Rattus norvegicus: one gene and its partners. The protein of the gene in region 2 binds, or shares a complex with, the protein of the main gene of each other region. Links are inferred from orthologs where the notes say so. Each region holds a gene or a part of one and is shown on either strand. Other genes may lie near its edges. The genes, in order: Poglut1, Notch1 and Dll4.

Region 1 (3,646 bases), on a different chromosome or scaffold from region 2:
TTTCTGACAGTGGCTAGACTGTCCTATAAGCCTGTGTGTCAGGAGTGCTATAGACCTGTTTTCCTCTCTTTCAGTCAGTTATGGGGACAGAGTGTTCTGCTTTCGGGCGTGTAGTTTTCCTCTCTACAGGTCTTCAGCTGTTCCTGTGGGCCTGTGTCTTGAGTTCACCAGGCAGCTTTCTTGCAGCAGAAAGGGTGGTCTTACCTGTGGTCCCGAGGCTCAAGTTCGCTCGCGGGGTGCTGCCCACGGGCTCTCTGTGGCGGCAGCAACCAGGAATACCTGCACCGCCCCTTCCGGGAGCTTCAGTGCACCAGGGTTCCAGATGGCCTTTGGTGTTTTCCTCTGGCGTCCGAGATGTGTGTGCAGAGAGCAGTCTCTTCTGGTTTCCCAGGCTTGTCTGCCTCTCTGAAGGTTCAGCTCTCCCTCCCACGGGATTTGGGTGCAGAGAACTGTTTATCCGGTCTGTTTCCTTCTGGTTCTGGTGGTGTCTCACGCACAGGGGTCCTGCCGCTCCTGGGCCCTCCCCCACGGGAGCCCAGAGGCCTTATACAGTTTCCTCTTGGGCCAGGGATGTGGGCAGGGGTGGGCAGTGTTGGTGGTCTCTTCCGCTCTGCAGCCTTAGGAGTGCCCACCTGACCAGGCGGTGAGGTCTCTTTCCCACAGGGTCTGGGAGCAGAGAGCTGCTGCGGGCCGGGATCCGCGGGTGTGGGTTTTTTCTTTTTTTTTCTTCTTCTTTTTCTTTTTCTTTTTTCTTTTTTTCGGAGCTGGGGACCGAACCCAGGGCCTCGCGCTTGCTAGGCAAGCGCTCTACCACTGAGCTAAATCCCCAACCCCCCGGCTTGTTTTTCAAATTGCAGTGTTATACTGGACTCTACAATGCATTCACAGCGAAGGCTATTCTGGTAGGCAGCAATCATGTAGCCACACAGCTGTGAACAGCAGTGATCGTAGGCATTGGATGAACCTTCCAAAAAGGAAAACCATTCCCTGAAATAGATATATAGTGACCAGAACATCATTGTCTTAGTTAGGGACACTATTGCTGTGATGAAAAACCATTACCAAAAGCAACTTGGGGAGGAAAAAGTTAATTTCACTCACAGTTCCATATAACAAACAGTTCATCATCAAAAGCCATGAAGGCAGGAACTCACACAGGGCAGGAACCTGTAGGCAGGGGATGATGCAGAGACCATGGAAGGATGTTACTTAACTGGCTTGCTCCTACTGCCTTGCTCAGCCTGCTCCCTTATAGAACTCAGAACCATCATCTCAGCCAGTGGCAGGACCACCCACAATGGGCTGTGCCCTCCCCCATTGATCACTAAAGAAATGTCTTAAGCTAGATCTTATGGAGGCATTTTTCTTAACTAAGGCTCCCTCCACTCCAATGACTCTTGCTTTTAACAGGCAGACATAAAACTAGCCAGTACAATCATACTCTTTAAGATCAGATGCCACCCAGAGGTGGTAGCTTCCACTTAGAATAGCAGTGATTGAGAGTTCACTAATCAGGGTCAGGAATTCAAGGCCACATTTGGCTGTATAGTGAGCTTGAAGGTAGCATGGTGTCTCAGAGTTTTACTGCTGTGAGCAGACACCATGACCAAGGCAACTCTTATAAGGCCAACATTTAATCGGGGCTGGCTTACCGGTTCAGTCCATTATCATCAAGGCGGGAGCATGGCAGCATCCAGGCAGCCATGGTGCAGGAGGAGCTGAGAGCTCTATATCTTCATCTGAGGGCCATTAGGAGAAGGCTGCCCCTCACATGGTTAGGAGGAAGGTCTCATTGCCCACCCCTACAGTGACACACTTCCAACAAGGCCACACCTCCTGATGGTGCTACACTCCCTGGGCCAAGCATATCCAAATGACCACAAATGGGCTATAGGAGATTCTGTTTTAAAACAAACAGTAAACCTAGATGTAAGCAAAGGAAGACTTGACGCTCCCCGTCTTTGATGGGTAAAGCGGGGATAGCCTGAGCAACCAAGATGCTGCACTGGACCCTCTTCCTTCACTGTCCCAGACTCAGTGACTACCTGCCCATCTGTGCCAGTAGCCACCGTGCTGGCCAAGGGCTGCTCAGGGATTGGGAACATTACGGTGTAGGCCACATAGATTTATGTTCTGTATTTTCTCTGTAGGACAAGCCCTGAAAGAGATCCTCTCATTCTTCTCTCTCGGAAAAATCCAAAACTCGTTGATGCAGAATACACCAAAAACCAGGCCTGGAAGTCTATGAAAGTAATCAGCTACCGTCTGAATCGAACCGCGGCAGCGCTGACTCTAAGAACGTTGCCCTCTGGGTAGCGTTTGAGATTAGGTTTCCTCTCGGTGGTGAGATGAGTGCAGAGCAGGCCCCGTGCAGTGGTGCTAGCGTTCGTGTAAACCGCCGTCTCCGGGCCTTGCCCGCTGTGCTAAGTGTCAGTAACCCTAAAGAGCTGAGTTTATAAGTCTTTCCTGGGAGCGGCCAGATCTAACTGTGGGGCTACCCAGGGCCTTACCGCCTGGCCTGCTGTGGCAGCGAGGGAGCAGTGGAGCAGCTCCAGTGCGACTATTCTAGCTATTATTTATAGCCACCAAAATTTGAATTTTGTGTGAAATGGGAATTCCATGTGAAATTTGAATTTTATGTCATTTTTTCTTTCTACTTTCTTTTTCTTCTTGTTTGTTTTTAATTATGAGACGGTGTTATAATGTAGTTCTGGCTGTCCTGGAACTCACTATGCAGAACTGGCCTCGAACTCACAGAGATCCATCTCCCTCTTCTGAGTTCTGGGATTAAAGTCATGTGCCACCACACCTGCATTTCATGTAATTTTCACATATCAAAAATATTTTCTTTCCCTTTTTTTAATTCCAGTCACTTGAAAATGAAAATATCTAGTCCACGAGTTTTATACCACTATGTGGTGCTGTGGGCACCTGACTTAAATGAATGGTTCTCAATGGCCGTAGAGAGCTTAAACAGTGAGCTAAATCTGGGGCCCAGGTTGCAGGAATCCTCATCTCACTAAAATCTGAAAAATGCGGCCTTTAGCTTTGAAGTCCATCTGTCCTGACTGTGACTTCTTGCCTTAAGAAAGAACTTAAAGTCCTAATTTCCTCGTTTGCAATGTCAACAGAGCATATAAGAAGAAAGCTTTAAGATTCATGGAGGGAAACCTCAGTGTATATCTGCAAAGGATGCATTTTTTACATTAGTCTCATTTGTACTTTTTTGTTGTGTTGCTGTACTGGGGTTTGAACCCTTGCCTTAGAATGCTAGACAGACACTGTATCCTATAGCTATACACCATTAGCCCATGACTGTTTAATTTAGAAGTTTTATTTTGTGTATGAGTGTTTTGCCTGCAAGTATGGATGTGCACATATGGATATGTGCCTGGTGACTGCTGGAGTTGTGGACATTTGTAAGCTGCCAGGAGGAAGCTTGGACCTGAGCCCAGCTCCTCTGTAAGAGCAGCAAGAACTCTTAACTACTGAGCCATCTCTCCAGCCTCGTCCTTAGCCTGCCTTACACAGTTTTAATCAAGCAGGAGCAGATGACAAAAGAAACAAAAAAGAAACAAAAAAATGCATAGGAATTCAAGGGCATCCTCAGTTACTGACTTTGAGCCTAACCTGGGCTACGAAACCC
Region 2 (3,646 bases):
CAGTGTCCACTCACTTGAGGCCGACTGAGTCCTCGCCGAGGGGTTCTCTCCGCTTCTTCTTGCTGGCCTCTGACACTTTGAAACCCTCAGGGAACCAGAGCTGGCCATGCTGCCGCCTGCGCTTGCGGGACAGCAGCACCCCACAGCCCACAAAGAACAGGAGCACGAAGGCAGCTGCCGCCACGTACATGAGGTGCAGCTGTGAGGGCAGCGGAGGCTCCACCGTCTCACCTGCGGGCAGGGGCGGCAGGCAAGCACCCCACGTCAGGCGTGGCGATGCTGTGGGCTGGTGGGGGGCGGCGGACTGGCTCCACGGCCAGTGCCTCCTCACCCACTCTCCTCCATCCCACCCCCCAAAATAAGGTCATTTTCTACGTGATTAATCAGAATTGCAAACTATCGCTAAATTCTCTTCTGCACCGGCTGATCTGTCTGGAGACAGTGCTCACTTCTCCCCTTTCGAGAAGGAGGATTAGCGAACTTCAAATCACTGCGCTCGCATTGAGCTGTTAAGACAAAGGATTTAGGGGGATTTTCAAGATACAAACTTCAACACTTCACATGACACCGATCAATTCTTCTCTCTCTCTTTAAAAAAAAAAAAACAACACACACACACACACACACACACACACACACACACACGCACACGCACACACACACAAAACCCCAGTAATGATTTTGAAATAATATCCAACAAAGAAAAATCAGGGGTAGAAAATGGGGAGAGAGGAAAGGCTCCTCCACACTTTCTGGTACATGTATTCATCTTAGGGGGCAGTTTGTACTTATAGTTCCCACCATCCACAGCGGGGAAAGGCCATGGAAAATATTCCAGAAAAGCACTTCCTGAGCTGGGGATGACAACTGGGCACAAGGAGTGAAGAGATGGCCTGCTTGTGACCCTCTCAGACTTTCCTCCACGCAAGGAACCCATCCCCGAAGAGGCAGGGCTGGCAGGGGTAGGGCACTTATTTAAAAAAAAAAATTAATGTGCATGGGTGTTTGGCCTGCATGTATGTCAGGACCCTGTGCACGCTTGGTGCCTTCAGAGGTCAGAAGGTCCTGGGCGCTCTGGAACTGGCGTTACAGAGAGTTATTAAGATGCTGCATGGGTGCTGGGACTTGAACCCAGCTCCTCTGCAACAGCAGCCCGTGCTCTTAACCACTGAGCCGCCCCTCCAGCCCTTGGTCACTCACTCTTTACGGCTTCGATCTTGTAGGGGATATTGAGGCTGCCGAGGGAGGCAAGAGCACCTAGGAAGGCAGCCACATCGGTGGCGCTCTGGAAGCATTGCGAGGATGACTGTACACACTGCCGGTTGTCGATCTCCAGGTAGACGATGGAGCTGAGAACACACAGCACAGTGAGATCAGATACACTCCAGTGTGCTGCGGGCACACAGCTCTGACTCCCTACCTATCTCCCTGACCCCCCGAGGGCATATCAGACAACAGTCCTGCAGTGGAACAGTCTCCCTGCAGCCCCAGTTTTTTAGCACTCGGCAGGGGCTCATTCTATTGTCCAGCCTTGCCCCTTAGGTGCACAGCGCCCCTTTTCCTCACTTCAGAGAACAGATAGCCTCTAGGCATACAATGCCCTCTTGAGAGCAGTGCCTGGTGCCCCACAGAAGTGCAGGGATGCAGTTGTGACTCCCTAGTGGGTAGCTTGAGGCAATAGCAGGCTCAGATGCCAGAGAGCCAGCTCTTTCTTTTTTTTCTTTTTCTTTTTTCTTTTTTTCGGAGCTGGGGACCAAACCCAGGGCCTTGCGCTTGCTAGGCAAGTGCTCTACCACTGAGCTAAATCCCCAACCCCTCCAGGAGACACTCTTATCTCTGCCTCCTCACCGCCACCCTAGGCTCCTCGGCCTTTAAGGCTCAGCAAGAGCGCCCTTGTGTACCCCTCACTCCTCTTCTGTGGTATGGATGAGTCACTACAACTGAGGTGCAGGATTGGCCTAGGATGGCTTAGCCCCAGGGGACATCAGCCTGGTCTCCAACACATGGTACACGGTGGGGCCTGACAGTCACAACGGGCAAACACTGGGCATCCAGCAGAAGGATGGCCTCATCGTTCCTGGTGCTTTCTGACCTTAAGGTAAGGTGAGGTCACAGCTCCAGGGATGAGCTGGTTCGAGAACCCAGGGACACACCGGGAACCAGCCCACAGTGGCAGGAGCTCACTCACCCATGGATGTCCATGGGGTCCAGCTCCCTGCGCTGGCGCCCACCATTGGTGCCAGGAAGCAGTGACGTTGTGGCCCAGCCCACTGCAGAACGCTTGATCGGGTGCTTGCGTAGCTCTTCCTCGCGGCCATAGTAGGGGAAGATCATCTGCTGGCCCTGCGCGTCACGCTTGAAGACCACGTTGGTGTGCAGCACGTGGCTGAGCTCCCGCAGGAAGTGGAAGGAGTTGTTGCGTAGCTGATCGGGCGGAAGCAGCACCACCAGCACCAGTGTGCCGGCTGCCAGTCGCTCGGGGACATGCTCTGCACAGTCCAGTCCATCCCACTCACACTCGGCACTGTTGCAGCCCTGGTCGCAGTGGCCATCACTGAAGTGGTCCTTGCAGTACTGGTCATACAGGGGGCTGAGGAGGTACAGGACGAGGTCAGTCCCATCCCAGCCTGCGGGCCTCAAACCCACCCTAACTGGGCCAGACCTGGGAAATGTGCTCGGTGACCCCCCTAGGGGAAGGGACGGACAGTGGCTTCATGTTCCTGGTATTTGGTTTGGTGCCTCCTGGGCCCTGGGCCTCTGAAGCGACCCAGCCTTACTTACTTGCACTGTCCCTCGGTGAGCTGGCAGTCGAAGCCATCAAAAAGGCAGCCAGCTGAGTTGCACTGGCTGTCACAGTGGCCGTCACTAAAATACTTCCAGCACTGCAGGGACTGAGTGCAGTTCTTCCAAGGGTCATTGAAGTTGAGGGAGCAGTCGCCGCCGTCCCAGCCACACGCGTGATTATTACACTGAAGGTTGCAGACCTTATTGCCTGCATCCTCCTGGCACTCAGGCAGTTCGCAGGCCTCCTCAATCTGTGGCGGGGGAATGTCGCGCCCGGCGCCACCTGTGAAGCTGTAGTCCAGGATGTGGCACAGCAGCCCGTTGAATTTGGCAGGGCATAGACAGCGGTAGAAAGGGCTCTCGGATGTGGGCTCACAGGTGCCCTGATTGTAGCAGGGGTTGCTACCCACACAGGGGCTGCTGGCTGGGAACTGGCATTCAGGGCCAGTGAAGGAGCCCAGGCATAGGCAGGTGGGACTGCGTGGGCCTGAGATGCACGTACCACCGTTGAGGCAGCGCAAACTGCCACAAGTGCGGGCGTCATTTTCACAAGTGGCACCCTCGAAGCCCTGTGGTGGAGAGAGAACGTATGGGTGCATGGATTCAGGGACGTCACATGCACTCTAGCCTAGGCCAGCCACTGTCTGTGATCTGTGAAAGGTGTCCATAGCCTTGCCCTAGTAACGAGGCCCTTGAAAAGTCCTCACCACAGGCAGGTCAGGAGTGCCAAGGGCTTCATATTGGAGGGATATCTGAATGGGTAGAACCCTAGGAGATTTTAGATCCATGAAACCCAAGGCTGATACTGTTACACTGTACGTGTACAAATCCCTGTGTGTCAACACCCATATTAGTGTGTTAA
Region 3 (3,646 bases), about 97 Mb from region 2:
AATAGCCTGTGAATTCCCCGGTGAAGGGAATGAGGCCTCATCCATGAGTTCTTCTACCTCCATGTGTTCAGCCTGCATGAACATAGAGCTCTCTACAAAGAGAACTGTGCAAAGGCTCCAAAGCCCTGGAGATTGCCGTGATTTTTGCTCTCCATGCTTCCGTAGGCTATTGGATAATAGTTACTGGCATCTTAAGAATTTAGGGTAAGACAGATATGCTTGGCCTGATCTCTCTAGCCGGGGATCCGACACCTGTAGCTTTACCTGATCCCTTAGCCTTGGTTTCCTCACCTGCTAAACTGGAGAATTTGATCCTTTCACAGGCAGCTCTGAGGATCAGGTAGGGAAAGACACAAGGTAGAACCACACACAGGAAGCGCTCACTATCCCGCAGGTGCAATTACAATTTAACTTAATCTTCGCACCAAAGACACTTAGTTTCATTTTCCCATTCAGGAATGATGAAACTGTGGCTCAAGGGAGTTGAGTGAGAACAGATTGTGTTGCCACTCCCAGCCCCTTGCTGGCTCCTGAGTGGCTGCCTGCCTGTCTCATAGACCATCACCTGCTGACTAAGTGTACAAAGATTACCAACGTGTTCTGTTAACTTATCAAAAAGCTCTGGGTATTCCAGATTCTTTGTGCTACACTTATTCTAGGGGAGTGTGAGGGAAGATGAGGCCTCAAGGTACAGAGCTCTAACCATCACTGGCCTTCCTTGAGAAGGGATGTGAAGCCTTCAACATCCTTCTTTCTAATTCAAGGCTTGCTCAAGAAGGTCACAAGCTAGCCTCATCAGGTCAAGGCTCATCCATGGAAATAAGAATAGAAATCAGGCGGATGGACACTAACCCTCACCTATGACCCATTGCTGACCTCCTTCTCTAAAGCCCTACCCTGCTTAATGCATAAAGCTCTTCACACTCCAAAGCACAGAGGAGCCCATTTCAGTCAGTCTTCCCAGAGCAGCAGACAGGTCTCTCTCCTCCTGATTCTCTCAGGCTCTCTGACCCTGGGGCCAGTTCATCAGGATAGTAAGGTGAGAGAAAGGGCTTACCATTGGCACAGGGGTTGCTGGTACACCTGTCAACTTTCTTCTCACAGTTGGACCCAGTGAAGTTAGGGGGACACTCGCAGGCATAACTGGCCCCCTGGTTGCGCTCCCGGCAGGAGCCTCCATTGAAGCAGGGTGAATCCGCACAGGTCAAGGTACTGTGTTCACAGTGCTGGCCATAGTAGCCCGGGGGACACAGGCAGTGGTAGCTATTCTCATGGTCCTGGAGAAAGAACATAAACAGGCTAAAGTTAGACCCTGGGGAGAGGACAAGGATAAACGAGGTTGGTGCCTAGCCTCTGCTTGTCCAGAGTGCCCATCCATGCATGCATAAGCAATGACTGCCTAGATGCTACCTGGTTAGACCTGTGCCTTACTGGGCTGATGTGGGTCTCACCTTACAGCTGCCACCATTTCGACAGGGGTTGCTGGCACACTTGCTGAGTTCCAGCTCACAGTGCTCACCAGTGTAGCCTGGGAGACAGGTGCAGGTATAGCCCCTCGGCCCACTGTTGGAGCAAGTTGATCCATTCTTGCACGGAGAGTGGTGAGTGCAGTAATTAAGATCTGTGGAGACAGGGGTTGGGGATTTAGCTCAGTGGTAGAGCGCTTGCCTAGCAAGCACAAGGCCCTGGGTTCGGTCCCCAACTCCAAAAAAAAGAAAAGAAAAAAAAAAAAAAAAGATCTGTGGAGACAGGAAGGAACCAGCTGAGTGGGACCAGGAACTCTTCCCACCTCCATGCAAGGCCACCCTGTATTTGGCCCAAAGAAGCTTAAACTCAAAAGTTTAAGGCCCAAGCATCCCTCCACTCTCTGCTAGTGAAATCCTGAGTGTTAAATCATCTGAAACTACATATAGACTGAATACATATAACAAATGTTGGAAACAAAGCACAATTGGTCAGCGTCCTGCTAGGTATGCTCACAAACACTTCCAGTCAGAGCAGGATCAAGAGGAGGCCCCTAGCCAATGAGGAAGTCGGGAAAGGCTTTACAGAGGAGGTGCAGGCCTGGAAGGACTAGAAGGAGGAATTAAAATCCAACAAGTGAACAGAGTAGGGGGGCAGGGATGAGAGCCACCATAGGCAGTACCAGGCATCTTCTAAAGGAGGTGTTAAAAGTGTATTTTGGGGGCTGAGGATTTAGCTCAGTGGTAGAGCGCTTACCTAGGAAGCGCAAGGCCCTGGGTTCGGTCCCCAGCTCCAAAAAAAAGAACCAAAAAAAAAAAAAGTGTATTTTGAATGATAGCTGTTTGTTTTCTTGTTGGAGAAAAACAAAGAGGGAGAGCCAGACAAAGCAAACAGAGGGACTGTAAGGGTTATGTTTGCGGACAATGAGTATATGGTTGTGTCACCTGGGAGCAAATGTGGATGACAGAAAGGGAAAGAGGTGTGTGTGTGTGTGTGTGTGTGTGTGTGTGTGTGTAGCAGAAAAAGGAGGGAAGTTCTGTGTGTCGGGGGTGGGGGGGGAGAGAGAGAGAGAGAGAGAGAGAGAGAGAGAGGAGAGGGAGAGGAGAGGAGAGGAAGGGAGGGAGGGAGGGAGGGAGGGAAGGAGGGAGGGAGGGAGAAAGAGAGAGAACATAAAAAACATATAAGGGCTGAATGGACTGAATTCCATGCTGGCAACAAGTCAGGACCTAGGCAAGCTTTTTCCAGCTTGGCAAACCCACTCCCCATCCTCTCCAGGTCCATGTGGTGTTGCCATGGCAGCAGGCACAGTGCTTGACCCTGAAAATGGGAGGATGCAGCTGGCTACAGGGATGTAGAAGAAAAGGTCCCTTCTCTAAGGTTGGAGCTCAAAGACTCCTATGTGGGCCCAAGAGTGGAAACCCTCAAATATCAGGTAGAGACCATGTGAGCTTGGGCAGCTGCCTGGCAAGTGTCACTGGGGAAAGGCAGGTGGCTTTGGCCACACTAAAAAGGCAGTTCCATGTTCCCTCTACCTAGAGGCCCAGATTGGCCACAGCCCAGGGTGGCCATCGAGCACACCCCACCACACAGCTGTTTAGGGGAGAGCTGCTCAAACAGCCTTGGAAGGTGAGCAAACACTCGGGGGTTAATAGGTAACTACAAGGCAGAAAGAGGGACAGAGCTCAGCTTCCCTTTCTTTTTAGTCATGCTAGAATTTATGAGTTTGAGCTGCAGGCTGCCAAGCTGTTAGCCCTGGCCTCTTTAGTCACCCTCGCTCTTCAGGGCCTGGAGAAGAATGTCCCACCATCCCTTTATAGGTCCATTGTAAAGAGCCTTTAAAAGCATGAGTGGGCTGTGGTAGAGCTCACAGGTACAGTGCTTGCCTAATATGTGAGACACCCTGAGTTCCATACCTCATACCTTCCCCGCATGCACACGCGCGCGCGCGCGCGGACACACACACACACACACACACACACACACACACACAGTCTGGAGACTTGTCATTGACCAATAATAGAAAAGTCACTTATGGACCACCAAGAAAGGGGTTCAGTCACCATCTCTAGTTTCAGGCCCTGCCACCGCATCCCTACTTCTCTCACTCACCTTGGTCACAAAACAGACCTCCCCAGCCCTCATCGCAGGCACATTGCCAGGGGATGGTGCAGGTGCCATGACG

What was found.
Region 1: the proteins of Notch1 (region 2) and Poglut1 are in contact, whole or in part, in a crystal structure (PDB 5UB5), measured with the Homo sapiens proteins. The link is inferred for Rattus norvegicus from reciprocal best matches to the Homo sapiens genes NOTCH1 and POGLUT1. Residues at the interface, in NP_060087.3 of Homo sapiens: Asn454, Glu455, Cys456, Val457, Asn459, Pro460, Cys461, Gln462, Asn463, Asp464, Ala465, Cys467, Gly472, Glu473, Phe474, Val485, His486; in NP_689518.1 of Homo sapiens: Met103, Phe104, Pro105, Ser106, Arg107, Asp133, Gly170, Pro171, Ala172, Val173, Trp174, Pro178, Thr179, Gly180, Thr214, Asn239, Gln240, Ala241, Val274.
Region 3: the proteins of Notch1 (region 2) and Dll4 are in contact, whole or in part, in a crystal structure (PDB 4XLW), measured with the Rattus norvegicus proteins. Residues at the interface, in NP_001099191.1 of Rattus norvegicus: Glu415, Leu418, Ala420, Asn421, Pro422, Glu424, His425, Phe436, Pro447, Arg448, Glu450, Ile451, Asp452, Leu468, Asp469, Gln470, Ile471, Ile477; in XP_006234827.1 of Rattus norvegicus: His65, Thr76, Phe77, Asn109, Phe110, Thr111, Pro113, Tyr180, Ser186, Arg187, Leu188, Lys190, Arg192, His195, Phe196, Tyr199, Lys216, Tyr217, Asp219.

The regions. Positions count from the first base shown.
Region 1 is NC_086029.1:75,721,006-75,724,651, forward strand, and holds part of Poglut1 (protein O-glucosyltransferase 1 precursor), read left to right. Parts: intron 1-2,150; coding exon 2,151-2,250; intron 2,251-3,646. UniProt on the Homo sapiens protein: Dual specificity glycosyltransferase that catalyzes the transfer of glucose and xylose from UDP-glucose and UDP-xylose, respectively, to a serine residue found in the consensus sequence of C-X-S-X-P-C.
Region 2 is NC_086021.1:29,683,538-29,687,183, forward strand, and holds part of Notch1 (neurogenic locus notch homolog protein 1 precursor), read right to left. Parts: intron 3,354-3,646; coding exon 2,782-3,353; intron 2,591-2,781; coding exon 2,189-2,590; intron 1,350-2,188; coding exon 1,201-1,349; intron 232-1,200; coding exon 15-231; intron 1-14. UniProt on the Homo sapiens protein: Functions as a receptor for membrane-bound ligands Jagged-1 (JAG1), Jagged-2 (JAG2) and Delta-1 (DLL1) to regulate cell-fate determination.
Region 3 is NC_086021.1:126,773,829-126,777,474, reverse strand, and holds part of Dll4 (delta-like protein 4 precursor), read right to left. Parts: coding exon 3,574-3,646; intron 1,622-3,573; coding exon 1,452-1,621; intron 1,278-1,451; coding exon 1,058-1,277; intron 1-1,057. UniProt on the Homo sapiens protein: Involved in the Notch signaling pathway as Notch ligand. Activates NOTCH1 and NOTCH4. Involved in angiogenesis; negatively regulates endothelial cell proliferation and migration and angiogenic sprouting. Essential for retinal progenitor proliferation.